Linked DNA regions of Oryctolagus cuniculus. The protein of the gene in region 5 interacts with the protein of the main gene of each other region in a pairwise test. Links are inferred from orthologs where the notes say so. Each region holds a gene or a part of one and is shown on either strand. Other genes may lie near its edges. The genes, in order: INMT, TBC1D10C, NTAQ1, PDGFRB, KLHL12, FLNA and TTBK2.

Evidence for each region.
Region 1: the proteins of KLHL12 (region 5) and INMT interact in binary tests that used the Homo sapiens proteins (3 or more experiments, as listed by UniProt). The two-hybrid records come from large-scale screens. The link is inferred for Oryctolagus cuniculus from reciprocal best matches to the Homo sapiens genes KLHL12 and INMT.
Region 2: the proteins of KLHL12 (region 5) and TBC1D10C interact in binary tests that used the Homo sapiens proteins (3 or more experiments, as listed by UniProt). The two-hybrid records come from large-scale screens. The link is inferred for Oryctolagus cuniculus from reciprocal best matches to the Homo sapiens genes KLHL12 and TBC1D10C.
Region 3: the proteins of KLHL12 (region 5) and NTAQ1 interact in binary tests that used the Homo sapiens proteins (3 or more experiments, as listed by UniProt). The two-hybrid records come from large-scale screens. The link is inferred for Oryctolagus cuniculus from reciprocal best matches to the Homo sapiens genes KLHL12 and NTAQ1.
Region 4: the proteins of KLHL12 (region 5) and PDGFRB interact in binary tests that used the Homo sapiens proteins (3 or more experiments, as listed by UniProt). The two-hybrid records come from large-scale screens. The link is inferred for Oryctolagus cuniculus from reciprocal best matches to the Homo sapiens genes KLHL12 and PDGFRB.
Region 6: the proteins of KLHL12 (region 5) and FLNA interact in binary tests that used the Homo sapiens proteins (3 or more experiments, as listed by UniProt). The two-hybrid records come from large-scale screens. The link is inferred for Oryctolagus cuniculus from reciprocal best matches to the Homo sapiens genes KLHL12 and FLNA.
Region 7: the proteins of KLHL12 (region 5) and TTBK2 interact in binary tests that used the Homo sapiens proteins (3 or more experiments, as listed by UniProt). The two-hybrid records come from large-scale screens. The link is inferred for Oryctolagus cuniculus from reciprocal best matches to the Homo sapiens genes KLHL12 and TTBK2.

Annotation. Positions count from the first base shown.
Region 1 is NC_091447.1:21,980,848-21,985,357, forward strand, and holds the start of INMT (indolethylamine N-methyltransferase), read left to right. Parts: upstream 1-1,499; 5' UTR 1,500-1,514; coding exon 1,515-1,668; intron 1,669-2,973; coding exon 2,974-3,181; intron 3,182-4,510. UniProt on the Homo sapiens protein: Functions as a thioether S-methyltransferase and is active with a variety of thioethers and the corresponding selenium and tellurium compounds, including 3-methylthiopropionaldehyde, dimethyl selenide, dimethyl telluride, 2-methylthioethylamine, 2-methylthioethanol, methyl-n-propyl sulfide and diethyl sulfide.
Region 2 is NC_091432.1:4,643,900-4,648,295, reverse strand, and holds the start of TBC1D10C (carabin), read left to right. Parts: upstream 1-1,500; 5' UTR 1,501-1,576; exon of another isoform or gene 1,577-1,790; 5' UTR 1,791-1,825; coding exon 1,826-1,980; intron 1,981-2,655; coding exon 2,656-2,755; intron 2,756-2,833; coding exon 2,834-2,941; intron 2,942-3,021; coding exon 3,022-3,128; intron 3,129-3,274; coding exon 3,275-3,389; intron 3,390-3,805; coding exon 3,806-3,871; intron 3,872-3,973; coding exon 3,974-4,163; intron 4,164-4,396.
Region 3 is NC_091437.1:149,148,981-149,152,716, forward strand, and holds part of NTAQ1 (protein N-terminal glutamine amidohydrolase), read left to right. Parts: intron 1-2,786; exon of another isoform or gene 2,787-3,056; coding exon of another isoform or gene 3,057-3,110; intron 3,111-3,347; coding exon 3,348-3,496; intron 3,497-3,736. UniProt on the Homo sapiens protein: Mediates the side-chain deamidation of N-terminal glutamine residues to glutamate, an important step in N-end rule pathway of protein degradation.
Region 4 is NC_091437.1:37,429,417-37,432,048, forward strand, and holds part of PDGFRB (platelet-derived growth factor receptor beta), read right to left. Parts: intron 2,395-2,632; coding exon 2,289-2,394; intron 1,562-2,288; coding exon 1,329-1,561; intron 183-1,328; coding exon 1-182. UniProt on the Homo sapiens protein: Tyrosine-protein kinase that acts as a cell-surface receptor for homodimeric PDGFB and PDGFD and for heterodimers formed by PDGFA and PDGFB, and plays an essential role in the regulation of embryonic development, cell proliferation, survival, differentiation, chemotaxis and migration.
Region 5 is NC_091444.1:18,666,145-18,670,622, forward strand, and holds the start of KLHL12 (kelch-like protein 12), read right to left. Parts: upstream 2,931-4,478; 5' UTR 2,875-2,930; coding exon 2,745-2,874; intron 1,470-2,744; coding exon 1,231-1,469; intron 1-1,230. UniProt on the Homo sapiens protein: Substrate-specific adapter of a BCR (BTB-CUL3-RBX1) E3 ubiquitin ligase complex that acts as a negative regulator of Wnt signaling pathway and ER-Golgi transport.
Region 6 is NC_091453.1:132,577,842-132,581,577, forward strand, and holds part of FLNA (filamin-A), read right to left. Parts: intron 3,670-3,736; coding exon 3,403-3,669; intron 3,256-3,402; coding exon 3,118-3,255; intron 2,890-3,117; coding exon 2,774-2,889; intron 2,234-2,773; coding exon 2,101-2,233; intron 1,324-2,100; coding exon 1,147-1,323; intron 975-1,146; coding exon 756-974; intron 673-755; coding exon 469-672; intron 263-468; coding exon 75-262; 3' UTR 1-74. UniProt on the Homo sapiens protein: Promotes orthogonal branching of actin filaments and links actin filaments to membrane glycoproteins. Anchors various transmembrane proteins to the actin cytoskeleton and serves as a scaffold for a wide range of cytoplasmic signaling proteins.
Region 7 is NC_091443.1:65,909,622-65,913,808, reverse strand, and holds the start of TTBK2 (tau-tubulin kinase 2), read left to right. Parts: upstream 1-1,287; 5' UTR 1,288-1,371; coding exon 1,372-1,437; intron 1,438-1,722; exon of another isoform or gene 1,723-1,859; intron 1,860-4,187.

The DNA.
Region 1 (4,510 bases), on a different chromosome or scaffold from region 5:
CTATGGCCCGGGAGTGCAGTGGAGGATGGCCCAAGTCCTTGGGCTCTGCACCTGCATGGGAGACCAGGAGAAGCATCTGGCTCCTGGCTTCGGATCAGCACAGTGCGCCGGCCACAGTGCGCTGGCCATGGCGGCCATTGGAGGGTGAACCAACGGTAAAGGAAGACCTTTTTCTCTGTCTCTCTCTCTCACTGTCTAACTCTGCCTATCAAAAAAAAAAAAAAAAAAAAAAGAAACCAGAGGACTTAAAGTAGGACAGGTTCCCTTCCATAATGCAAATGTCCCTCACCCAGCCAGCCCAAGCCTGATGGTCTCCATGACAGTGGGGATCCTGCAGGCAGATGGCCCCTGGACTGGAGCCGCAACGACTCCAGCCTGCAGCCCCCTCGCGGCGGGAGCCGGGTCCTCCTCCTCCATCTCTTGCCCTCTCTGTGGCCGGCATATGGTTCTGTTTCTTTGGACAGCTCTGACTGCTGCAGACTCCTGGCGGCTTCCCCTCCCACAGCCCTGCCCACCCGGTGTTTAGCGCTGTCCTTTGACCAAACCCTCCTCCAATTATGTAACGCCAGCACTGCAGTTTTCCACCCTGGGACCCGGGGTGAGTGACTGGGGCCCAGTCGGCCCGGGGCCCAGGCTGCGGCTGTGGGGCTGTTTGTTTACTTAAAGCAGAACAAGATATTCTTGTCCTTTCCACTTCCAGGGCGGCAGCTGGGACCTCCAGGGCAGCAGATTCATTTCTGTCTGGTTGGCGGCCAAGTGAAAGTCATTTCCTGGTACCAAAAAGGAGACCAGGCTTTTCTCTATTTGTGGGAGGTTTTTAACGACCTGTGCCCATTTTAGAGGGAAGAACACTGAGGCCTGAGCGATTGACTTACCCAGGATCACATGATGGGTCAGCCACAAATAACCTTGACTGTTTATGCTTTCTGATTGGCCTCCTTGTGCTCATTCACGGACACCAGTGGAGGATACTCTGCCTGCATTGCTGAGTCAGCAGTCCTGCTCTGTGTGCCGGGCCCTCCTCCTCCCGTGCTCCCCTGGGCTGGTGTGCTCAGACACCCGCTGCGCCCCACTGACCACTAGGGGACCAGCTGGGGATCTCCCTGTCTACCCAGGCCCACCACACCTGTGCCCAGGAGGCTGATCTGGTCCTCACAGCCTGTGCTGTGGGTACGTGGGTGGGACGCTAGGGGTCTGACCCCTGCCCCAGCTCACCCTGCAGTGAGAGTGGAACTCAGGGCTGGCCACTTTCACTTGCTTCACTGATGATGTGGGTCAGTCCCTAAGGGAAGCAGAGCCAGGGTGCCTGCAGCCCCGGCTGCCATGGCTCTGGGTTCAGAGGAATTGAGTGAGGGTCCCTGGGTCTCCTCGTGCATCCCCGCAAAGGGAAAACTCCAGGACCAGTGGATGTAGGAGGAGCCAGGAGATGAGGCTGGGACTCTGGGGGCGGAGTCTGGAGCTTGGGAGCCCTCATAAGAGCGGGACAGGCAGGCGAGGGTGTACCCAGGACCACCATGGAGGGCGGCTTCACGGGGGGTGATGAGTACCAGAAGCACTTCCTGCCCAGGGACTACCTGAACACCTACTACAGCTTCCAGAGCGGCCCCTCGCCTGAGGCGGAGATGCTCAAATTTAACCTGGAGTGTTTGCACAAGACCTTCGGCCCTGGTGAGCCTCCCCTCTTCTCTGCAGGGCCCGGGGTGGGGGTGGGGGGCGGCGAGAATGTGTCCCAGGGCACCTCCGCCCCTCTAGGGGCTACAGGGTGCAGTGGAGTGGGGAGAGCTGCAGGCCACTGCCCTCTCTGGGTGCTGGGTTGCTGGTTGTCTGCCTGCCGCAAATCAGGGCACACAGTGGGCAGGGCACAGCACCTAGCGGTCCCCAAGCTGCTCTCCATGGGTCCCTGATCTTCAGGGTGGGACCGGGAAGACTCAAGTCCAGCATTGTCCCTGCACAGCCAGGCCCCCGAGGCTCTGTGGAGGCCAAGAGCAAACAGTGGGATTGTGGTGGGGTACGGGTAGCCCCAGCCCTGCAGTGCACAGCCTTCACCTGGCTCTGCCCATGGCCTGGAGAAGCCCGGCTGGGGAGTCGGCAATGCTGGGTGGGCTCCCCGCCCTGCTGCAAGCCTGCTGGCCTGGCCTGCAGGCCCAGGGGCCTTGACTGGCCCATCTCTACCTGCCTCCTGCACTAACCCCTGTCCCTCATCGTGGGGGCCCAGCGACTCGGTCCTGCCCTCCCAGCGTGCACAGCCGCGTCCTCCCTTTGGGTGCTGGACTGGGGAGCAGCGAGGCTGAGTCTCCTGGTGGTGGGGGAAGCAGGGGCTGAGAGCCTGCTGGAGCCAGGTGGGGGAGGCAGGAACCACAGCACAGCCTGGCTGCGTGTGGACCCTCCAGCAGGGAGCTCAAACCCAGCCTGCAGAGGGACCTCATTCCAGCTGCCAGGCAACCCTCAACTCACCCTTGGGGTCTTCCCAACTTGCCGCCCCCTCAGTCTCCGCTTCCTGGTCCTGGTCCTCTTTCCAGGAGCCTGCCTGCTCAGGCCTGGACATGCCTCAGCCCCCATTAGCCTGCATCTTGAGGGGCCACTGTTCCCCAGGATGGATGCTTGGAGCACTCCAGCCTGGTTGTCCCCCAGTGCAGGGCCTGGAGCTCCTGGTCTCTGGGGAGCAAGATGCTCATGTGCTGGCTAGAAGATGCTGGGCTCATTGTAACCTTTGTCAGCCTCAGTTTTCAAATCTGTAAAATGGAAATAACCATGGTGGTTGATCTGCAGGGAGGTTCTGAGGTGTAAGTGTAAATGAATGCGTATGAGACATTAGGCGTGGGGCTTGGCCGACAGGAGGCTGCCCAGCCATGATAAGTGCCAAAGTGCCATGCTCGAGTCTCTTCCCCGGACGGCAAGACCAGGGTGTGTGTCCCCCTCATCTTCTGTCTTAGGTCTCCTCGTCTATCGCTGAGACCCCTTTTCCTCTCACAGGCGGCCTCCAAGGGGACACACTGATTGACATCGGCTCGGGCCCCACCATCTATCAAGTCCTCGCTGCCTGCGAGTCCTTCAAAGACATCACTCTCTCCGACTTCACTGACCGCAACCGGGAGGAGCTGGCCAAGTGGCTGAAGAAGGAGCCTGGGGCCTATGACTGGACTCCGGCGCTGAAGTTCGCCTGTGAGCTAGAAGGGAACAGGTAGGTAGTGGTTAGGGTACTGGGGCAGGGTCCCTACAGGCTGGACATCAGCCCCCTTCTGCAGAGGACTCTCTGGCCTCTCAGTGGCCCCTTGTATCGCAGGGATGGCTGGAAGCTCACGGATGGGACCAGATGCTCTAGGGGTAGGGTCAGGGTAGATGGACCCGGCAGCCTAGGGCCGTGGGACTGTGTTCAAATGTGATACAGCTTAGTAAAGGCCACATACCGGGAGCCTGCCTGCCTGCCTTCCACCAATCATCTACCTACATGCGTTCCTGTACTCTGTGTAACCATCCGTCCACCCATCCATCTACCCACTTTCCCATCTTCTCGTCTTCCTCTACCACTCACTCCTATTGGGGCTGCATTACATGTGACACAGCCACCACCAGGCCCGACTTATCTAAGCTTCTCCCTCTCCCTTGCCTTCCCACACTGAGGCAATCACTTAGGTGAATTATCTATTTGTTATTCCTTGGCATCTTAAAAATAATTCTCATCACATCTCTATGCTTAAGCAGCCTGTTCCTTAGTTTTATTCTCCTCAGGATGTTCTATCAGAGTAATTTGCTCTGGGTTATCTTCTGGGCTTTGCTTTTCACCACTCAACATTATAGCAACATCCACATGTGGCCTACAGCTATGTCATCCATTCATCCATCCATCCACCCACCCACACTTCCATCCATCCTCACCCATCCATCCATCCAACCCACCCATCCATCCACCCACCCACCCACCCATCCATCCATCACCCATCCATCCATCACCCATCCATCCAACCCACCCATCCACCCACCCACACTTCCATCCATCACCCATCCATCCAACCCACCCATCCATCCACCCACCCACCCATCTATCCATCACCCATCCACCCACCCACCCATCCATCCATCCACCCACCCATCCATCCACCCACCAACCCATCCATCCATCCATCACCCATCCATCCAACCCACCCATCCATCCATCCACCCACCCACACTTCCATCCATCCTCACCCATCCATCCAACCCACCCATCCATCCACCCACCCACCCATCCATCCATCCATCACCCATCCATCCATCCACCCACCCACACTTCCATCCATCCATCCATCCATCATCCATCCATCCATCCACCCACCCATCCATCCACCCACCCACACATCTATCCATCACCCATCCACCTACCCACCCATCCATCCATCCATCACCCATCCATCCATCCACCCACCCACCCACACTTCCATCCATCCATCCGTCACCCATCCACTCATCCATCCATCCACCCATCCACCCACTCATCCAACATCCATCCATCCATCCACCCACCCACCCATCT
Region 2 (4,396 bases), on a different chromosome or scaffold from region 5:
TCGAACAGCCGCAGCAGGTCGTAGTACTGGCCGTGGATGTCACCTGGGGGCCGGGGGCGGGGTCAGCGAGGAGGGGCCCCGGGCCTGCGCGGGGGAGGGGCCGGCGGGGGGCTCACCGCAGATCTTGAGGGGCGCCTCCAGCTCCAGCAGAATGGGCTGGCTCAGGAAGATCTCCCGGGATTTGAGGCACAGACCACGGATCTCGTTCTCCGTCAGCTGCACATTCTTTCCGGGCCGCGAGCCCTGCACTGGGGGGCGGGGGGAGGGGGCTGAGCACCCGGCCCCCGAGCCAGGAGCAGGTGGGCGACACGAGTGGCTCTCCGCGGGCACCTGCGGGGCCGCCGGGGACCCTCCCGGCCGCGGGGGCTGCGGGGGCTGCGGCGCCTGCCCTGGCCGCCGCCTCAGGCCTCCCAGGACCAGAAAGACCCCCACCACCCTCGAGGCCCTCCCAGGGGGCCGTCGCCCAAAGCCCGAGGGCGCACGGGTTCTCCCCTCAGCCCAGGAGCCGGGCCCAGCGGCGAGCTCGCGGGCCGCCTCCGCCCAGCCCGAGCTGGTCCGGGAGGGGCCGGCTCGTCCGCGCGCCACTTCCGGGCCTGGCGGGGCCCGGGGCGCGGCGGTGGGCACGGCCGCCCCGCCACCCCCGCCAACCTTCCAGCAGGCGCCCGATGATAGAGTCCAGGTTGAGCTTCTCGCTGTCGGACATGGCGGCGCCGCCGCTCGGGCCCAGCAGCTCCGGGCCCACTCCTGCCTCCCGCCCGCCCGCAGCCTCCTTCCGGCCTGGCGCTGCTTCCGCCCGCCCCGGGCCGCCCCCGGCCCAGGCCCCGCCCCGCCCGGCCCAGGCCCCGCCCCGCCCCGGGCCAGGCCCCGCCCCTCCACGCTCTGGCGCCGCCGCTGGACGAGGAGCGCGGCGGCGCGGGGCGGGGCCTGGCCTAGGAGCTGGGGGGCGGGGCTTTCGGGGCGGGGCCGAGCCGGGTTCCACCCCCGCGGCACCGCCCAGCCCGTTTCAGAGGCTGGGGGACCGGAAGGACCGTGGAAGTTGTTTTTCTCTCGCACGGGCCGGGCGGCCTGGGCGGCCGGGTGGTGTGAGCACGTGAAGACCCGTCTGCCCAGACGCTGCGGTCACGCTCTGCCAGTGCATACAAGGGAACCGAGTCCCGGGGCTGGCGGGTGACCCCCAGGCAGCTGACCAGCCCCAGGACATCCGCGCGTCCCTCGCTCGGGATGCTCCACGCTGTCCTGTGCATGCTAAGTGCACTTTTTACTAAGTCCCGCAATGACCTTTCCAGGGGCGAAATAGTATCCCATAGGGTGCAGGTGGTGACGGGCAAACGCGACAGCAGCCGCGGTCCTCACTGGCACCCCGAGCTTGCCACCCAGGTGGCCTGGCGCCGTCGCACGCAGCACAGGAACCCGAGGCCGCCGCCGGGGAGGGGAGGAGCTGGTGGCTCAGGGGCGCTGCGGGGGCAGGAAGAGCTCGGAGAGGAAGGGGTGACCCCCCCCTTGGGAGGGGCCCCCAGCGGGTTGCTGAGGCTGTGAGGAGGAAGTGGGAGGAGGAGGTGAGGGGTGAGGTGCAGCGGTAGGTGAGCAGGGCGCCTCGGGCCGGGGCCGGTGGGTTCGGGGTCTGGGTGCCAAGGCCTGGCCCTCCTGTCATTTCACAGCCTGGCTGCTCTCCCCCCACGCCCGTGAAAGGACACGGGGGCTTGGCGGGATGCCCTGAGACCTGTCCCTTCTGACCCGGGCACCGGGAGGGCGGGGAGCGGCCCCCTCACAGTGGCTCTCCACGCCCGCAGCTGGCCGCAGCCCGTGGCCTGGAGGGTCTCGCACCATGGCCCGGGCCCTGGGGGAGGAGCTGCTGCAGACCTCCGAGCTGCAGGAGGACTCCAGCTCCCTGGGGTCCGACTCGGAGCTGAGTGGGCCCGGCCCATATCGCCAGGCCGATCGCTATGGCTTCATTGGGGGCTGCTCGGCGGAGGAGCCCGGGTGAGTGAGGCGGGGCTGGGCGGCAGGGGGTCGGGGCTGAGGGTGGGGCGGGGGCGGAGTTCTTGAGGGAGACCCTGCTTTGGGAGGGTCTGGCGTGGGGACTGGACACTGGGGACTCGGCCAGTGTCACCGTCCCCAGGCGCCAGGTGGAGTCCTACTGATGTGGAATCACCCGGGTGGGGGTGGCTCTGTCTGTCTCTTTCGCCCCCACCCCGGAGACTAAACATCCTTCCCCTTTTAATCGTGGGCCCTGGAATCCCAGCTCCGAATCCCAACTTCGCCTGCTACCAGCCCTTCCTGTACAGACAGGAAAACAAGTTCAGAGACAGACAGAAACTTGCCCCAGGGCACACAGCACAGCCGACACTCAGGACTCCTGGTGTCCAGTGCGGGACACCGTCCGACCAGCTGCCTGGGGATCGTCCACGTCCCTGTCCCCGGAGGCAGCCGACCAGGCTCCCCGCCCCACAAACACCCACTCACCCCATCATTCTGCTCTGCCCTGGCCCTGTGACAACCGCTGGTAGCCTCTGGGACACAGCTCACTCTGGGGGCTTTCTGGGGATCTCCAGGGCCACTAACGGGCCTCACCCGGGCGGCCAGCAGGGGTGGGGGACAGGTGTGGCCCGAGGGGACGGCTGCCCGGCGCCTGACACCTGTGTCCCGTGCCCCCAGGACGGGCCAGCCCCCGGCAGGCCTGATCCGGCAGCGGGAGATGCAGTGGGTGGAGCTGACGCAGCACTGGGAGAAGACCATGTCCCGCCGGTACAAGAAGGTGAGGGGTGCCCTTGCCGCCAGCCCGCTGCTGTGCTCGGGCCGCGGGGATGGCCCTCACCGCCCGCCTCGCCCGCAGGTGAAACTCCAGTGTCGCAAGGGCATCCCTTCGGCCCTGCGGGCCCGCTGCTGGCCCCTGTTGTGCGGGGCCCACGTGCGTCAGAGCGGCAGCCCCGGCACCTACCAGGTGAGGGCGCGGCAGGCCCACCTCCCCCCGGGGGGCTGCGCCACACAGAGCCCTCACGCCCGCCTTCCTGCCCGCCACAGGAGCTGGCAGAGGCCCCCGGGGACCCGCAGTGGCTGGAGACCATTGGCAGGGACCTGCACCGCCAGTTCCCCCTGCACGAGATGTTTGTGTCCCCCCAGGGTCATGGGTACGAGGCAAGGGGTGCCCAGGGACCTGGTGGGACCTTCGGCCCGGTCGCCCCGATCTACCGCTGCTGCCGTGTGTCCCAGGGCACCTGGGGGAGGGTGGGAAGGGGTGCCCGGGGGCTGGCCCTGATGGGGTCTCCTGGCACAGGCAGCAGGGGCTCCTGCAGGTGCTCAAGGCCTACACCCTGTACCGGCCCGACCAGGGCTACTGCCAAGCCCAGGGCCCCGTGGCCGCCGTGCTGCTCATGCACCTGCCCCCGGAGGTGAGTGGCCGGCGACCCAGGACTCTGACCCCCAACCCCAGGGACCTGGCCATCCTGAACTCCGGGCCCATGACCCCAAATCCCAAGTAACACTGGCCTTGGGGACATGGTGTCCTGGGGACCCAGGGCCTCAGGACCACTGACCTCATGACTCTCAAGACCCCAGGGACTTGGGACCCCCGACCCCAGCCCTTACTCCAGTGACCTCGGTAGGGGTCTGGTGCGGCTACCTTGACCTCATGACTCCTGATTCTGAATCCCATGGCCGTGACCCCTGACCCCAGGAACCCAGGGACCGTCCAGCCCAACACCCCGAGCCCTGTTTCTCGCGCCTCTGTCTCGGGCAGAGGCTCTCAGGCACCGGGCAGGGGGGGCCGCACCCCTTTCCCAGCCCCCTCCTGTGCCCGCCCCTCCAGGAGGCCTTCTGGTGCCTGGTGCAGATCTGTGAGGTCTACCTCCCCGGCTACTACGGGCCCCACATGGTGAGAGGCTGGGCATGGCGGGGCGGGGGGCAGCAGCCCAGGGGCCCGGGGCAGCGGTGGTGCGGGTGGCGCCAGGCTGCGGGCTGACGGCCGTGGCCGCAGGAGGCCGTGCGGCTGGACGCCGAGGTGTTCTCCTCCCTGCTGCGGCGGCTGCTCCCGCGTGTGCACAAGCACCTGCAGCAGGTGGGCGTGGGGCCCCTGCTGTACCTGCCCGAGTGGTTCCTGTGCCTCTTCGCCCGCTCGCTGCCCTTCCCCACGGTGCTGCGCGTCTGGGACACCTTCCTCAGCGAGGGTGAGTGGGGCGGCCCGTGGCCAGGCGGGCGGGAGGCTTGGGGCGGGGAGGGTGTGCCTGGGGAGGAAGCCAGCTCATCAGCTCGGACTTCTCCCTCTCCAGGCCCTCCTGGGGCCCGGGATGGGGGGGCCGAAGGTGGTGCCCGGCCTGGTGCGGGAGAAAGGGCCCCCCCGCTCCTGGCCCTGGCTCATTGCAGTCAGGGAGGCGTCTCGGGGGAGGTGGCTGGGTGGGAG
Region 3 (3,736 bases), on a different chromosome or scaffold from region 5:
ACAGTGCCGCTCCCCCCTTGGTTGGCTTTTTTAAATTATTTATTTATTTATTTATTTTTTTGACAGGCAGAGTGGACAGTGAGAGAGAGAGAGACAGAGAGAAAGGTCTTCCTTTTGCCGTTGGTTCACCCTCCAATGGCTGCCGCATCCCACGCGCTGCGGCTGGCGCACCGCGCTGATCTGAAGCCAGGAGCCAGGTACTTATCCTGGTCTCCCATGGGGTGCAGGGCCCAAGGACTTGGGCCATCCTCCACTGCACTCCCGGGCCACAGCAGAGAGCCGGCCTGGAAGAGGGGCAACCAGGACAGAATCCGGTGCCCCGACTGGGACCAGAACCCAGTGTGCCGGCGCCGCAAGGCGGAGGATTAGCCTGGTGAGCCGCTGTGCCGGCCCTTTGGTTGGCTTTTAAAAAGGCCAGCTGTTTACAGAGTTATTCTCCAGTTACATTGTGACGCAGACTCTCCTTCTATCTCCACTTGTGAGCCTGGGAAGTGGAGGGGTTGAGATTTGAACCAGGTACTTGCCTGCCCTTGCCTACAAGGTTCCCTGTTCTGTCTCTTATTCACTCTGTACTATACACTTGGGATTCCCACTCACTTCTCCAGGAACGCCTTGCAGGTAAGAACTTGTAATTTTTATCTTTGTGTCTATGTTTCAGCAGCACAGTTTCCTATTATTAATAAGGAGCAAGTACTTAAAAATAAGTTATAATGAGAGTCTGAAGTGAGCTAAGGCAGAGATGACTTCTGGCAGGGGTAGAAGTTCCCAAGTGGATTCCTGGGGGAGAAAGCTTTTGAGCTGGAGCCTGTGTGGCAGAGGGAGGCCGGGCAGGTTGCTGCAGGGGATGGAGTACCATGAGCAAGGCCCATGGAAGGGAATGGAGGACTGTTAGGGGAGCAGCTGTGAGTCACTGAGCAGGAGCACAGAGAGTGTCTGTTTCTGCCTTCCCAAGACAGAGTTGGAGACAAGCAAAGCCCTCGCTCTTATGACTCAGCAGTTCCAGTCTCGTTGCCTTTTCCACTTCCCAGGGGTCGAATGGGCCGAGATGCAGTAACGGGCTTTGTAAACTCTGAGCTATGTGCTGTGGAAGCGGAAGACGGTCGGTAGAGCGTGTGTTTTATCATACTGCTGCCTGTGAGAGCATTTTACCCCTCAGGAACCAAAGCAGCAGACTGCCCTCATGTCCCTTGATAACTGGAGGTCCCCTTCAGCCCTCGGCTGCGCTGGTGAGAGAGAGAGAGTGTGTCCATGCTGTGGGGCTGAGCAGGAGAGGCTGTCCTTAACCTTACCCTAATGCCTACAGATTGCAGCTCGGCTGTTGTTCAATTTTTCCCCTTTTAATTAGGAAAATAGCACAGAACTGAAAAGTTACATCCTGATTTCCTCTCCAGGCTAGCTTCTCAAGTCGTCCCCTTTGAGGTTTTTGGGGTAGTGGTTAAGCTGTCAGGTAAGATGCCTGCATCCCACATGGGAGTCCTTGGGTTTGATACCTGGCTCTGGTTCTGACTCTGACTTCCTGCTAATGCAGACTGTGGGTGGCTTAAGCAGTTGGGTTCCTGCCACCCTTGTGGGAGACCTGAGTTGAGTTCCCAGCTTCCAGCTTTGGCTTGGCCCAGCCTCGGTGGTTGTTATGGGCATTTGGAAAGTAAACAAATAGATGAGAGTTCTCTCTGTCTTTGTTTCTCAAATAATAAATAGACAAGAAGTCCCCTTTGTTAATTGTTCAGAGGAGATCCTTACACACTTCCTCTGTACTCATGCATGCATATGTACTTCTGAATCAAATGTGTGTCCTTATATGCACATGGCTTACAAAAAATAAAGCAGGGGGCCAGTGCTGTGGAGTAGCAGGTAAAGCTGCTACCTGCAGTGCCAGTGTCCCATATGGGCACTAGTTCGAGTCCCATGCTACTCTACTTCTGATCCAGCTCTCTGCTATGGCCTTGGAAAGCAGTAGAAGATGGCTTAAGTCCTTAGGCACCTGCACCCTTGTAGGAGACCTGGAGTAAGCTCCTGGCTCCTGGCTTTGAATTGGCCCAGCTCCAGCCATTGTGACCATTTGAGGAGTGAGCCAGCGGATGGAAGGCTTCTCTCCTTCTCTACCTCTGCCTCTCTGTAACTGTATCTTTCAAACAAACACATAAATCTTAAAAAAAAAAAATGTGTTGATATTCTGCACTTTGCTTCGTCTGTCCAGCTATATACATGGAATTTTTTTTTAAGATTTATTTTTTATTTATTTGAAAAGCAGAGTTAGAGAGAGAGAGGGAGAGGGAGAGACAGAGAAGTCTTCCATCCACTGGTTGACTCCCCAAATGACCACAATGTCTGGGGCTGGCCAGGCCAAGGCCAGGAGCCAGGAGCTTCTTCCAGGTCTCCCACATGGGTGCAGGGGCCCAAGGACTTGGGCCATCCTTCACTGCTTTCCCAGGCCATATGCAGGGAGTTGGATGGGAAGCAAAGCAGCTAGGACTTGAACTGGCATCCATATGGGATACTGGCGCCACAGGTGGTTGCTTTACTCACTGTGCCACAACACTGGTCCCAATGACATGGACATTTTTGCATTAAAAAAAAAAAGATTTAATTATTTCCTTGAAAGGTGTAGTTGCAGGGAGGGAGGGAGGAAGGGATAGAGGGAGTGAGAGAAAGTCTTCTATCCCCAAATGGCCCCAATGGTTCACTCCCCAAATGGGCCCAATAGCCAGGGCTAGCCAGGAGCTTCTTCTAGGTCTTCTGTGTGGGCGCAGGGACTCAAGTACTTGAACCATCTTCTGCTTTTCCAGGTACACTAGCAGAGAGCTGGATGGGAAGTAGAGCAGCCAAGACTTGAACCACCGTCCATATGGAATGTTGGCGTTGCAGCCGGCAGTGTAATCCACTATGCCACAACGCTGGCCCTGACATTTTTGCATTTTCCACATAAATGTACTGATGTCTTTTATCATCTGCGTGGTATTTGATTATACGGCTGTGACACAGTTTACTCAGCGTTCGCTGCTTGATAGGCTCCTGGACTTTTCAAAATTATAAACAGTGCCGCGGAGAGTTTCTTCATGTTTACACTTCACGCGCTCATGGCCATTTTTCGGTGGAATAGTTTCCTAGAGGTGAAGTTGCCGGGTCAAAAGGGTATACAGTTAATGTCTGTAACCATTTCCATCGTTTATTTGACCACCTTCCCAGACACTGGACTTTTAGTCTGTTTTTAGGGTTTTGTGTTTGCTTTATTGTATTTTGCTGTTTTAAGGAGGGTTGTATTAGTGTTGTACTTGTAACCTTTTTTTTTTTTTAATGTGCATTAAGGGGCCTTGGCATTCACCACCCAGATGTGCTTTTCTTCCTAGGATTACCACGTTGTTTTGCTCCATGTGTCAAGTGGAGGACAGAGCTTCATCTATGACCTTGATACTGTCCTGCCCTTTCCCTGTCCCTTTGACACTTACGTAGAAGATGCCTTTAAGTCTGATGATGACATTCACCCACAGTTCAGGAGGTGAGGAGATTCGGCTTGGATTTACGTACATACTTTCTGAAGTAAGACACTGGGATCATGCTAAGGTTATTATTTTATTTTTTTTTATAAAGATCACTTGTCTTGGCATCATCACTGAGTTGATATTTTGATATTTTGAATGACGTGCATGCTACACTAGAGATTCCAGATGTTTTAAAAGTTTTAAAGGTTACCCATCGCATAAAAGGTTGGGAGTCTTTAAAGTTGTGTGATGATCTC
Region 4 (2,632 bases), on a different chromosome or scaffold from region 5:
ACAGGAAGCTGTCCTCCGCTTCCACCCGCAGCCCCAGGCAGCCTGGATCTGCCGGCTGCTCCTGCTCCGGCGGGGGCTCCTCCGGGGCCTCCACCTGTGCCTCGAGCTCTGCTTCTTCTTGGGGCTCCAGGGGGCTGTCACAGGAGATGGTGGAAGACGTGTTGGCCTCATTCAGGGTGGAGCTAGAGGAAGGAGGCGGGTGAGTGAGGGGGGGAGGGGACATGGGAACACGCAGGCGGCTCTCAGGACGAGCTGGCTGAGTGTCCCACTGGGCACGCTTTGGCTCCCATAGTCCTTGTAGAGACTATGCAAGGGCTGCACCGTGGAGGACCTGTGGCTCAGGGAAGTGATGTCCCCGGCCCAGGTGAGCGGAGGAGCCAGGACTTCCGAGCAGGTGCAGCTGACCCCAAAGTCCATTCCTCAGCCAGCGGCATCTACCCTCCTAAAGGACTGTGCTGTCTCTTAATCCTCCCACCAACCCCTACCTGAAGGGCTTTCACTGTGGTCATTTTACAGAAGAGGAACTGAAGTTCTGAGAGGTGGAGCCGATTGCATGAGGGCACAGAGCAAGGCCAGCATTCACAACCCCTGGCAGCTGAACTCTACAGTGACTCCTCTGTGTCGTCTCCCTGGAGCCTGAGGACGTTGGCTTCCTCCATGGGCACAGCCAAAATGACAAAGGGCCCGCACCGGCCTATGTGCACTCCCAGTGCCACGGGAGAAACCGAGGGTTGCAGGGGAGAAGCCTGCGCAGGTATCACAGCAGTGGTAACAGCCAGGGGCTGCCCCACTCACTCCACCCTGGGCTGGATCTCGTCTGGGGGTGGGTTTGGCCTCCTGGGCAGCCCCGATCTTCAGCCGAGGAGGATCCTGTCTCAACAGCATTCCCAGGCCACAGCCAGGGCTGTCCCACACGGCAGCCTCACTGCATCCCAAGGCGAGACGAAAACCACCAGCCTCCTTCCTGGCCTGAGTTCTGGCCTGAACTGCTGTGGGTGCCTCTACAGCCACGCTGGGCTCCCAGGGCTGAAGGACAGACCACAGACCTGAGACTGGCCATGACCCTGTCCTTGGGGCTACGACAGGGCCCAGAGAGGGGAGGGTACCCAGGGCCTCTTAAAAGGCAGGGCTCACAAATGATCCCCAGCCCCTCCTTCTATGACTGGTCTTTGCCTCACACCTGACGTCATCCCAGGTCAGTCCTGTTTACTCATAGGAATGAGTACTCGGCCATGGCACCCGCAGCCAGCTCAGCCCCAGGCAGACAGACAGACACAAACACACACACACACACACTTACACACACACCATGCACGCTGTACAGCTACCTGGCAAGGCTGGGGGAGCCCTCCAGGGGGCCCTCATCAGCAACCTCGGGCTTGGGGTCAGGCAGGGGGATGATGTAGTCGTTGTCGCCCTCGTTGGGCTGCACGGCCGTGTAGAGGACAGAGCCGGTGTCCAGGGGAGATCGGAGGCCGTGGAACCCAGGGAAGCGGGCTTGGGACCGGAGGATGGCCGGGTGGTCACTCCTGAGAAACTCCTCATCCACCTGCTGGTACTTCTGCTCCGCCAGGCATGGGGGGAACCAGAGAAACAGAGATGGCTTCAGGGACCAGCTGAGCAAGTCGGGCCACGGAGGGGCTCAGGGAAGAACGGGGTTTGCTAAGCCGCCCCGCCCACTGAGGGAGGGGGCGGAGGCAGCGCAGCCCGAGTGCCTCACCCCTCCCCACTGCGGAGCCAGCAGGTTAGTGCTCTCCTCCTGCCCCCATTGCCCCCAGGGGCCCTCGCCATGGGGAGGCGATGACTCTACAACGTCTCCCTGGTCCCTGGGAGCGCCGCCGGGCATGGGCACGGGGTGAGAGCCAGACCTCGGGAAAGGCCGTGTCTGCACCTCCCCGCCTCTCCCTGGTTCCTGCTGCGGGACGGGGCAGCGTTTTAGGGTCCTTGCGGCTCTGTGTGCCTTGGGGCAGCCTGAGACAGGGTTGCTGTGGTCCTAGAGCCCCAGATCTGGCCTGGGTGCAGAGGCCTGGGAAGGCAGCAGGACCCCAGGGCTGCGGCCCCGCCCTGTGCCGAGTAGTCAGCGTCCCCATAGGAGCCCACTGGAGAGCTCTGAGCCACCAAAAAGGCAGGCTCATCGCTGCAGCCCAGGTCTGCCCAGCAGCAGCAGAGAAACGGAGGCCCAGAGAGGGCTATGGGGGTTTCCTCCAAACAGCAGCACCGCATGCAGAGCCCCGAATCGGGGGCCAACTTCTGCATCACAACTCTGCCCCCACCCTGCCTCATTTTACCTTTTTGTAACCCTCGCCCAGCAGCCTCTCGAGAAGCAGCACGAGTTGGGAGAAAGGGGGCCGAATCTCAAACTTCTCTTCCCAGCACTTCTGCATAATCTCGTAGCTGGGGAGAGAGGCAGAGTGGCTCAGGGTCTTGGGTTTGGGGCCCAGGGGAGCTGGAGCCTGGCATCTCTGGAAACACAGCAGCCAGGCAAGGGGGCTGGGAGGGTGTCGGACAGGTGCTGCCTCCCATCACGGCCTTGGCCTTCCCTCCCAGCACCCCTAATCCATCTGCCACACGCTGGGGAGCCCATGACCCAGGTTTGGCCCAGAGGAGCTGCCGCCCCTCTGCTCGATGGTGG
Region 5 (4,478 bases):
GGCAGCAGATGATGACCCAAGTCCTCGGGTTCATGCCACCCACGCAGGAGGACCAAGGGGGAGTTTCTGGCTTCTGGCTTTGACTGTTGCAGGCATTTGGGGAATGAACCAGTGGATGGTTCTCTTTCTCCTTCTCTCCCCCTCTCTGTTGCTCTACCTTTCATGTAGATAAAAATAAACATTTAAAAATAAATGAAAATAGATTATAAACATATATCAGAAGCTGGGGAGGCATAGTAGTCAAAAATTGTTTGGGGAGGGGCCCGAGCTGTGGCATAGTAAGTTAGGCCTCCACCTGCAGTGCCAGCATCCCATATGGATGCTGGTTTGGAATCCCAGCTGCTCCACTTCCAGTCCAGCTCCTCCTAGTGGTCTGGGAAGGCAGTAGAAGATGGCCCAAGTGCTGGGGTCCCTGCATCCACAAGGGAGACCTGGAAGAAGCTACTTGCTTCAGATCGGCCCAGCTCCAGCAGTTGTGGTCAAGTTTGGGGAGTGAAACAGCAGATGGAAAACCTCTCTCTGTCTCTCCCTCTCTCTCTCTCTGTAACTTTGCCTCTCAAATAATTAAAAAAAAAATTAAAGCTTAGAAAAATGTGAAGGCAAATTTTATAGCTGGGGGCCAGTGCTGTGGCGTAGCAGGTAAAGCCACCGCCTGCAGTGCTGACATCCCATCCAGGCACCAGTGCTCCACTTTCCATCCAGCTCTCTGCTGTGGCCCAGGAAAGCAGTGGAAGATGGCCCAAGTCCTTGGGCCCCTGCACCCACGTGGGAGACCCGGGAGAAGCTATCAGCTTCGGATCGGGTGCAGCTCCGGCCATTGTGGCCATCTGGGGAGTGAACCAGCGGATGGAGGACCTCTCTCTTTGCCTCTGCCTTTCCTCCTCTCTCCGTGTAACTCTGACTTTCAAATAAATAAATAAGTCAATCTCTAAAAACAAACCAACACAAAGTCAATAACGTCTCATTACCCACTAAGCTGTCCTAAGCACTTGACACGTAATTTTCTGTCTTCGCCACAGCCTTGCGTGACGCACTGGGCAGCACTATTATCTCTAACTCAGAGGTGAGAAAACGAAGGCACAGGCATGTGCGGATCTCACTGTGAATAAGCCTGCCTGCTTACACAGCGTCTTACAAGACTCCACTACCATATGAAGCTTGGGTTGTCTTCCTCGGTGAGGCGAGGCGAGGCGCTTACAGGCATGGGCTGCACGGGTGCGGCCTGCTTACCTCGCTGGTGAACATGGCGCAGAAGTAGTCGCTGCAGGCAGCCAGCACGATCCGGTGGGCGGGGAAGTCTTTCTGCTCCACTCTCAGCGTCACGTCGCAGAGGGTGCTGCTCTTCCTGAGGGCGTTCATCGAGTTGAGGATGGATTTAGCATGCGTGTTGGTCATTATGTCTTTGGGGGCCATCCTGCCTCCCATCAAGCAATATGGAGAAAGAACAGAGGGGGCCCTGGGTCCTGGAACTGCAAGAGAAGGCAACAGAGGCACACAGGCCATCAGCTTCCCAGACGGGGGCTGAGACCTCTGCAGGCACAGACGCCCACAGGGACAGCCCCTGCGCTCTCTGGGCTCACCGCCATCTGGCCGCTAACTCTTCTAGCTTAAGGAGCAGCCCTGCTTCCTCTCAAGTCCTCTGTCATGAGTGTCCCTGCCACCTGCAATTTATTATAATCGGTGCTCAACTGTATTCTAAACAGAAAGGCCTATGTATCTTCATGGGATTGTCTCAAGTGATAAAAAGGTAAAATCCCTTAAAGGTGTGACATCATGGCTATTTAATATTCATAAGAGAATAAGTATTCAGAGGGTGGGTTCTTGGTTCATATGGACCCTAGCAGGTACACAATTAAAATTTAACAATTAAATATAAGAAAAACAGTGTATTCAACTTAGAACAAGAAAGGCTAGTATTGGTGAAAATGAACTGGTTTCCAAAGAAATACAAGATGCAAAGAATTATGCATCAGGATTTCCAAATATAATTACATTTCTTCTGAAAGTGAAATTTCAAACGACAACCTGGGACCTGCTTTGAATAGCAGAGACCACGCAAGCCATCTGTGGTCTCCCCAGAGTCGTCAAAACTCCTCAGTAGGAGTCTTCCTGTTCTACACGATTGGGAACGTCCACCAATGCTAACACATCAATATTCACAGCACTTCTTCTATACTCAGAGAACTTGTCAGGATAGAAACCTAAAATCCCTCTACTGCCAACTTCACCGCCATCGCTGCCGTGGCCTGTTACAAGTCAGCCCTCTGTCCCATGGCTCCCCACCCACACCGTCAACCAACTGCAGATAGAACTATTTGAGAAAAAAAAATCATGGGTATTATACATGCACACGGTTTTTCCCTTGACATTATTGCCTAAGCAGAGTATCAAAACCACTTACACAGCAGTTACAATGCATTAGGTAGGCTGCATGCAAACACAGCGTTCTACAGGAGACCTGAGTGCCAGCCTATCTGGTATCTGTGGCAGCTCCTGGCACCAATGCGCTGCAGACACCAAGGGACGGCTGTGCCCCAAAGTTCACTTGTGCGCATCAGCTCAGTGATTCCCTACCTAACAGCAACTTAAGGAACAGGTGCTAGTTCACAGCCTTTTTTTCTCCTTTGGCTTCAGGCACAATTTCTGGGAGTGAAATGGGGGGTGGTCATTAAGAGAGTACATCTTACTGGGAATCCAAAACTTTCAAAAATAATCCAAGAAATTAAAAAAAGTTCGCAACTCACGGTCAGGATGTTTGAGGAGCAAAAACAAGACCCCAAACTCATCTACTTCTGTCCATGGTCCGCACATCACTCTACAGGATCCACCCAGCGACTGTGCCACAGGCACTTTGCACACCAGGCGGTGATTCATCAGAGCGAGCGTCCTGCACAAAGGTCTTCCTTCGCTCAACCGAGGGCCACCCTGGGATGCAAGGGTCCGAAGGACCTCGCGCGGGGACAGCGGCCCCCCCAGGCAGCCTCAGCACAGCCTCACCCTTACCTTTCGGAAGGGCCCTATTCTAGAACCTCCGATCACACCTGAACACGGGGGTTCCACCACGGCAGGTTGGGGGCGGGGCCGGGGTGTCCACTCCTGGTAAGGGTCAGTTCCCGAGAAGGAAGGAAGGTCTTCGCCGCGGACCACGCCGGGCGCTAGGCTGGCACCGCCTGGCAGAGGTAGCGGAGGGGCGCGGGTCGCCGGGTGCCGCAGGCCAGAAGCCCCCCCGCCTTCCTCCTCGGAGGGAGCCCCAGGAATGGGGGAAGGGCCACCACCTTACGAAGGCAGGGGCTACCTGCCGCCACCTCCGGTCCACTCACCTCGGCTCCCGGGCCCAGCGGCCGCGCCGAGCCCGGCCACAGTCCCTGGGGACGGGGCGGGGAGCGGGGCGAGCAGGCGGCTCAGCAGGAGCCGGAGCGCCGCCGCCGCCCCCGCTCGGAGGCTCTGGGGCCGTCACCGTGGGCGTCCCGGCTCCGGTCCCCGCGGCCGCGCGACGTGATGACGTAATGCCAAGCGAGGCCCGCCCCCCTCCTCCCCTGGGTCGGCATCACGTGAGGCGTCGTCGTCACCTGACCCGCATGTGCCCGGGGCTGGCTTCGGCCAGCAGCAGGAGAGGGGGCGCCCGGGGAGGGGATCGCGCAGGCGTCCAGCTCTGTGATGCGCTGAAACCGAGTTTCTTTCTGCCCGCAGCCCACGAGGCAGGCCCCACGGGGAGCGTTCCCAGGGCTTCTAGGCGAAGGCGCTGACTGCAGGGGCTCCGTTTTACCTGCCAGGGATTCGGGTACTGCCTGTCATCCAGGAAACCCAGAGACACTGCAACTGTCTCAAAATCCACGGTCCACAGTGGCGGCCTCGCGCCGACTAGTGCTGTGGCGAGAACCCCGAGACCTCGGGCGTTCTCTGCGTCACAGTGGGGCTTGCGAGGGTCTCGGAGCAGCCCTGCCGGACCTGTCTGCCGTCCCCGGGGGTGCAGGGAGGGGGCGGCTAGGCCTTCTGCTTCTTCTTGACTTGGACGCATTGTTAGGGGCCGGGGCTCCTCAGTTCCACCTAAGTCAGTGCCCACACTGCTTTCCTGTGCGCGGCCTCTGATGCCTAAGGTTGGTGATACCCCAGCACGGTGGGCGGCTGCTACTTTGCTTGGTGTCTCTGTCTTCCATAAGCAATCTTCCCACCCGAAGACTCCCTGGTTTACACATTGTGGTTGGAAGTGCAAGGCTGGGGCAAGTTCTGCGGAGTTTTGGAAGTCATCACAGGTATGAATGCAGATACCCTTTGGCTGCGCAATTGTTTATCAACGTATCCGCCATGTATACTGTATGCGGCAGTGTTGTGTGTAGATGAAAAACCCTCAACGTGCATTAGGAGGGCTGATTCAGTAAGGTGTGCATTCAACCCTGCACCATGCTGTTGTGAGCAGCAGGTGTCGTCTTGCTATTATTTGTATCAAAACGTGAGAAGATACATTCAATTATATTCGA
Region 6 (3,736 bases), on a different chromosome or scaffold from region 5:
TGCTCGGGCAGGAGAGCAGGCGTGGGTGGGGGCACTTCTCGTCCTGGCGGCGCTGGCCGGCGGGGGCACCGGGCTCAGGGCACCAGGACGCGGTAGGGGCTGCCCGGGATGTGCTCGTCGCCCCACTTGACCACCAGCGTGTACTCCCCCTTGTCCTTGAGCAGGTAGGAGACGCTGTAGAGCCGGCTGCCCACGTGCTTCACCAGGATCTCCTCGCAGGGCGTCCTCGGGCCGTGAACCCCGACCAGCAGCATGTTGTTGCCTGAGGTAGGGATGGGCCTCGGTCACGGGCCCCGCTGCTGACCGCGCCCAGCCCTCCTCCCCGTCTCCCTCCCTGCCTGAGTGGCAGGGGCCGCTCCAGCCGCTGCTCCCGGCCAGCCCTTTCCTCTCCTGAGGGTAGAGAAGGCGGGGGCCCGGGGCTGGCCGTCCCGTGTCCTCGGGGAGGCCGGGGCGGCCCCAGCTGCCCACCTGCTTTGCTGCAGTCCACCGTGAAGCTGCTCTTCTGGCCTGCGTAGGCCTTGCTCAGCCCCAGGCCCTTGGCCACCACTTTGCTGGCATCGGCAAGGCCTGGGCCCGCGGCGGCGTGCTGGGGGGCGCCCGTGGCCTTGGTCAGGGAGTCCACAAACACTGAGGACGTCTCGTGGAGGCTGTGGTTGCTGACGAGACGGGGGCCTGCAGGGCACAGCGGGTGGGGCTGAGAGGGGGTGCGAGCGCCTGGCGTCGGGTGGCCACCAGCAGCCTGGCCGTAGGCTCACCTGTGACTTTGGCCTTGAAGGGGCTGCCCCCAATGTGGTAGGGCCCGCCGTACTTGATGGAGATGAGGTAGCTGCCGGGCGCCATGGGAGTGTAGGTGACGCGGTAGCCCTCGGGGCACTCCTGGCAATCCATCTTCACCTTGGAGGGCCCGTCGATGGTCACCGAGAGGGCACCGGCTCCCGCGTTGGTCGTGTTCACAATAAACTCAGCCGGGCTCCCTGTGAGCACGGGAGGTCAGGCAGAGCCGGCCCGGCCTGGTGACCCCGTCCTGTCCCGCCCCCAGCTGCCGGGCCTGTGCTGTCCCCCCACCCCGGCCGTCCACCCCAGACGTCGCCGGGAGCTCGGCCCTGGCAGCCTCAGCCACGCCCAGAGCTGCAGCCGAGGACCCACCTGTGACGCCGCCTTCCAGGCCCGCTCCGTAGGCGGACACCATGCCTGGGTCCCCTCCGTGCCCAGGCTCCCCCACTCGGATCTTGAAGGGGCTTCCAGGGATGTGGGTGCCGTTGAACTTGACGTCAATCAGGTAGATCCCATTCTCCCGTGGGATGAAGCGCACGGCATACTTATCTGAGGAGCAGAAGGGCACGCTGCGGGCCTGGGGGTTCTGTCACCAGCATGTAGCCTCCGAGAGGACAGCCTCGGTCCTGGCCTGCCCCGTCCTCCCCCCACACCCTTAGCCCGCGTCCCCTCCGCTTCCTCTGGGGCCCTGCTGGGCGCCCACACCCGGCAGCACACACCTGCAGAAGGCTGAGGGCGGAGGCTCTAGACACCCAAGCAGCCTGCCATCGAGGCTCAGAGGCACGGAAATCGTCCACCGGCCAAACAGCCGCCTCATCTCACGGCCGGCCTCCCCTGAACGGCTACCGTGAGTGCCACACTCCCCGCCCGTGAACCGGGGCTCATGGACGGGCCGGAACTTGCTTCGGGTCAGGCAGCCGGCAAGGGGCAGGACTGCGCGGTGACACTGGTGTGCTTGAGCCTACTGCAGGTGCCATGCGCCTGGCGAAGGGCCCGGCAGCCCTGTGGCTACACTGGGGGCCGTCCCTCTGCAGACACACCGCGTCGCGCTGCCCCACGAAAGGCCTTCTTCCCAGTGGCCGTGGCTGGCGAGCTCATGGCCGAGGCCTTGGGCCACCGGTCGGGGAGGGCTCCCCTGTCCCCTGATCGAGGGGGCCCTGCAGCCGTCGGGGGGCCCCGTGCTGGGCGCCAACAGAAAGTCTGTACCTTCCTCACGTACTCTCAGCCTGCTTCCAGCCGGCTGGCCGGGCTTTGGGGAGGCCCGCTGCCCCCGCTGGGGCCCGTGCAGGTAGGTGGCCGGGTGGCCGGACAGGGACAGGGCCTCACCTTGGTCAATCTCTGTGACATAGCACTCCTCCAGGGCTCCCGAGGGGCTGTGCACCTTGGCATCAATCGCCCCCTTGGCCCCGTTCAGGCTGACTGCAAAAGAGGCTGGCTGGTTGACCTTTAGCCCTGACTCCTGGAAGCACAGCAGACGAGGTTAGATGGGGTGGCGGGGACCGGGCACGGGGCCGGTACATGGCCCCAGAGTTGGGAGGCCCCAGGGCTCACACTTACCCATCTGGCGTCCAACTTGGTTTAAAGAGGGAGAGCCACTGATATGCTAGGGGCAGCAAGCTTCAGACATAGGTTCCCCCACCACACTACCCCACCCCTCCCCCACCGCCCAGACCCCTGAAGTCACAGGGCCCCCACAGCTGGAAGGACAGTGGCCCCACCCTGGCAGGCTTTCCCTCTTTAAACCTCAGCCCTGGTGCTCAAGGGGCACAGGCTCCTGTTCAAAGCCTTTAGACCTGAGACACGAGAAAAACTCCACGCGGTGGGCAGGGTGCTTCCTGCCAACCCCAAGTGCGGGTTGGACCCGGCCAGAGCAGGGGCCCGGGGCCCAGAGCTGGGCCGGCTGGGTTACTGGGCACAGAACCCTGGCCTGTGCTTCGCGGTGCCTCTGGTCTGGCCGGGCCCAGGAGCCCCAGGTGGCCAGTTTCTCTCAGTGCCTCACCTGAAGACTAGAAACAGTAAGGCGGCGGGCATCGCCGGACGGAGAAGCCACAGGCACCACGAAAGGACTGTCAGGGATGTGCTCCTCGTTGAACTTGACCGACACCTCGTAGTCACCTGGCAGGGAGAGGACACGAGGCTATCCTGGGCCAGCCCAGGCCAGGCACGATGGGAGGTCTGGCTCCTCGGAGGCTGGGCCTCCTGCCTGCCCCACCAACAGCCCGGGGCGGGGCGTTCTGAGGCTTCGAGGCAGGTGGAGGGTGGTGGGGGCCCCAGGGTGGTGGGGAAGACAACCCCGGCTCCCTCCCTGAGGACCTGCTCCAGCCCCGGCCAGGCCCCCGGTACCTGGCTCCTGGACCACGTAGGCCACACCACATGAGCCGTCCTTGCGGTCCTCAAAGGAGATCTCGGCCTTGCTGGGGCCCTCGACGGCGATGGCCAGGCCCCCGGCGCCAGCTTCCCTGGTCCAGATGCTGAATTCGGCTGTGGAGAGCGGTATTTCCTCCTGGAGGGTTGCGCCTCTGCCCTCAGCCCCTCGCCATGGCCCCGATGGCGTGGCTGCCGGCAGCCTCCCCCCCACTGCCCCCGGGCACCCAGAAGAGCAAGAGCTGGGTGGGCAAGCGGGCCTACCTGGCACTCCGGCTTCAGCCCTCTCCAGGCCAGGGCCCCCAGCACGAACCTTGTGGGCTCCTCCTTCCCCCAGGGGCCCCACGGTGAACTGGAAGGGGCTTCCAGGCACGTGCTGGCCCTTGTACTTGACACTGACTGTGTGCGTGCCCATCTCAGCAGGCACAAAGCGGATACAGTAGGTGTGGTTCTCGCCTTCCACGATCTCGGCCTCGTGGCTCTTGCCCGAGGGGCTGGTCACCTGTGCGGTCATGTCCTGGATGCTGATTTCTGCAGGGAGGAGGTGGCCCGGTGGGTAGGAGGTCTGTGCCCCCACCTGCTCCCAGCAGCCCTCCCT
Region 7 (4,187 bases), on a different chromosome or scaffold from region 5:
GCTTTTTATCCAAGAACCTGGACACCACAGAGAGCACAGCCGCCTGCTGTTTTTTTTTTTTTTTTTTTTTTTTTTTTTTTTTTTTTTTAAGAATGTCAAGAAGGTGTGGCATTTCCCCAAGAAGAAGATTCTTGTAAGAACAGTTCTGAGACTGAACATAGGATTTATATTTAACCTTTCTATACGATTTTATATATATATATATATTAAGATTTAAAAGCGAGATTTATCAGAGTCAGAGACCTCCATCAGGGAGGGGGACTTCCAAGCGAGGAAAAACCCTTCTATATTCTTATTTAGCTTTAATGACGCCTCTTGTTCGTTTCTGTCTTTTAACTGTTAAAGTAAAATGGAGCTTATACGTCACTGCACGCGCTCTGTACACCGTAGACCGCTGGGAGTCCTGCGAGTATTATGAGGAAAAGCACTGCCCACGAGGGGTTTAAGAGACTTGAGTTTTGCGTCTGCTGCGAATTAGTTTTAGAGCTTCTGGAAAGTTGTTGAACTGGGGTTTCCCTTCTGAAAGCGGCGGGTGAGGATGGGATGGCAGAAGCTCTGGGTCGGAAGGTTTTCCTTCACCGGAGAGGCTGGCACGACCAACACGCAATGCAACTGGAACCCGCAGCACCTCTGCTCCGCCCTCTTCGCTCTTCTTTCAAAATCTTGAGCGACTCCCGCACACTCTCGCTTAGCATCCCACGCAGTCCGCCCCGCGGCTCTCGACCGAATCCTTGGCGGCCGTGTTTCAAACAGGGCAGGCAGTTCTGTTCTTCGTGGGCTGAGAGACCGCTGCGGCACAAAGGCTGACGTCCTTGGTGGAAGTCTCCGTCCCTTTTCCTCCTCACTCCTCTAGGCCTTTCCCTGGTCCCCCGCGGCGGGAGCTCCGTGTGGCGCCGTTGCGGGCAAGCCCGGCGGCTCGGGCTCTGAGGAGGCAAATGGCTCCTTTAACCTGTGACCCGGCCTCACGATCCCGGGCCCTTCCCCGCAACCGCCTCGGTGTGTAAATTCATAGCGTGACGAAGCAGCCGCGGTTTTCTGTCAAAACAAAACAAAACAAAACAAAACAAAAAAACAACACCTCAATCGTGGCGTCACATGCACGCCTCTCTAAGTTAATCACTGAGCTGGGAGAACACCTTCCTGCGGCCATCATTCATCTCAGAAGCCCTGCCTCTCTCCTCGGGACAGGCGGGCAGTTGCGGCTGGGGTTGGAACTACGAGGCCCAGAATCCCCGCGCGCATGCGCGTTGCCATTGTGATGCTCCTTTCCCGGTAACTCGCCCTCTCAGGCAAACCTGAAGATAGCGGCAATTCTCCGGTGGGGGGCGGAGACGCTCCCTGCCCGACTCTCCGCCCCCTCCGTGATAGGCAATGGGACCAGCCAACCGACGCTGCGGGCTCGGAACGCACTCTCCAATCAGCACCTGTGGCGGAGAGGTGGGCGTGCGCACTGGCGGGGCAGGTGGGCTAGGCTGTGCCGGGTTGCGAAGGGGGAGCATAACGTCGGGTCGGGTCAGCGGGCGCTGCAGTAGTCGCCGCAGCGGCGATGGGAGCGGTGGGGACTAGGCGGCGGCGGCGGCGGCAAGAGGAACAGGGGCTGGTACAAGAGCAGCGGCTGGGGGCGGCCAGCAGCAGCAGTAACGGCAGCAGCCGCCGCCGTCGCCAGTAAGCGCGGACGGTACCTGAGGGGACAATCCACCGGCCGGCCCTCGAAGCCGCGCTCAGGTCCCGCCGCAGTCGGCGGCGGGGGATGGGCAGGCGGCGACGGTCCCGCCTGCCGAGGGTTGTCCCCTGCCGGTCCTGGCCCTGAGCTGGACCCCAGCCCTCCGCCTGAAATCCCCGCGTCCGCCACGGCCCAGGTAGGACACACCCCCCGCACCCCTAGGGCGCCCCGGGTGGCCCCGGCCCCGCCCTCCCCCAATCCTGACCCCCTTCCTCGGGCCGCAGCCCTAGCGGAGTGGCCGCGCCTGGCGAGGAGGAGAAGGGCACCCGGGGCTCGTAGGTCGCTGCCCACGCCCCGGACTTCTGCCAGACCCAGTCACTTTCCAGCTCGGAGACGGTTCTGGTTCTGCCCCATTTCCCCGAAGGCGCCTGCCGCGTCTCCCCCCTCCCCGAGGCTTCGGGTGTCTTCGCCGAACTTGGAGGGTCATGAAGCTTGATTCTGTTTCTCTCTCTGGGTGACCCACATATCGCTGAGACTCATTCCTCTCCGGGTGCCGGAACCTGGGTGCACCGAGGGTTCTTAGGAATTAGCAGTGCGCCTTTCCCAGCCCGCCCGACTGTCATGGAAGGGGGCATAGGACCGGGGAGTCTTGTCTGCTGTGTTGCAATGAGGAGGAAGGCCCGGGACTTTCTGGTACTTAGGTGCTGAAGTAATGAGCCGAGGGATTTGTTCGTCACTTGCTTCGACAAAGATGATGATGTTGACACCGTGGGATGCTGTGGGAGGGACAAAAGACTCCACACATTCATACTGTCAAATCAGAGAAGTAAATCAGCCGTTGTTGTGCAAGGGTACTTTATCTTACAGGGAAGTTAATTTCGATTCAGTCGTGGTTGCGTTGGAGATAAAATGACATTGAGTTGTACTCTGCTTTGAATTAAAGTTGATAGGTGGCAGCAATACTGGAATTAACTCTTCTCTCACCTAGCTTTACAAATTTGTTCCTTCTTGGAGGAACACTAAAGAGAACAGTTTTATTGTAACCTTTTAATGATGTAAAGGTGTTTTCTTATTCAGTAGAAATTCTCTGTGTGTGCCTGGGTGTGTGTGTGGGTGTGGCTGTGAATGGGCCCAGGTCATATACACCGAGGATCCACTCTGTTTTCTTACAGTGTTGATTCTGAGCCCTTCATAACAGTTGCGTTGGTATCTGCACACTGATTTGCCAGGTAGACCAGGAAGATGTTTCTGCTGTTTTTCTTTCAGACAAACGGAATAGAGTAGCATTTATTTAGTTGGGGAAAAGGGGGAGTGATTTATAGAGCAGAGTGAGTGCTGTGTGTTGCTTCCCCTCCTCCCCTTTTTTTAAAGAAGCAGTAATGGTGGTAAATACAATGTAATATGACAAATGTTGAAAATTGCTTTTATTTATTTATTTTTTTGAAATTGTATTTATTTATTTGAAGGGCAGTGTTACAGAGAGAGGAAGAGAGTGGTCTTCCATCCCCTGGTTTACTTCCCAAAGGGCCACATTTGGACCAGCCTATAACTTCATCCAGGTCCCCCATGTGGATTGCAAGGGTTCAAGTACTTGTGCCATCTTCCACTGCTTTTTAATTTTTTTTTTAAGATTTATTTATTTGAAAGTCAGAGTTACACAGAGAGAGGAGAGGCAGAGAGAGAGAGAGATCTTCCATCTGCTGGTTCTCTCCCCAGTTGGCCACAACAGCCGGAGCTGCACACATCTGAAGCCAGGAGCCAGGAGCTTCTTTGGGGTCTCCCACGTGGGTGCAGGGGCCCAAGGACTTGGGCCATCTTCCATTGCTTTCCCAGGCCATAGCAGAGACAAAGAGCTGGACTGGAAGTGTAGCAGCTGGGACTCGAACCAGCGCCCATATCGGGGGTCGGCGCTTCAGGCCAGGGTGTTAACCCACTTTGCCATAGCGCCGGCCCCTCCACTGCTTTCCTAGGTGAATTAGCAGGGAGCTGGTCAGAAGTGGAGAAAGCAGGACTTGAACTGGAGCTCATAGGGAATGCTGGCATTGCAGGCAGCAACTTAACCTGCTGCACCACAGCCCTGCCCCTGAATAGCTGTTCTTTTTTTTTTTTTTTTTTTTTTTTTTTGACAGGCAGAGTGGACAGTGAGAGAGAGAGAGAGACAGAGAGAAAGGTCTTCCTTTACCGTTGGTTCACCCTCCAATGGCCGCCGCAGCCAGCGCGCTGTGGCCGGCACACCGCGCTGATCCGAAGGCAGGAGCCAGGTGCTTCTCCTGGTCTCCCATGCGGGTGCAGGGCCCAAGCACTTGGGCCATCCTCCACTGCACTCCCTGGCCACAGCAGAGGGCTGGCCTGGAAGAGGGGCAACTGGGACAGAATCCGGCGCCCCAACTGGTACTAGAACCCGGTGTGCCGGCGCCGCAAGGCGGAGGATTAGCCTAGTGAGCTGCAGCGCCAGCCACTGAATAGCTGTTCTTAAATCTAAAAAGAAAAAAAAAGTTTCATTGTGTATACTTGGATGGTATTT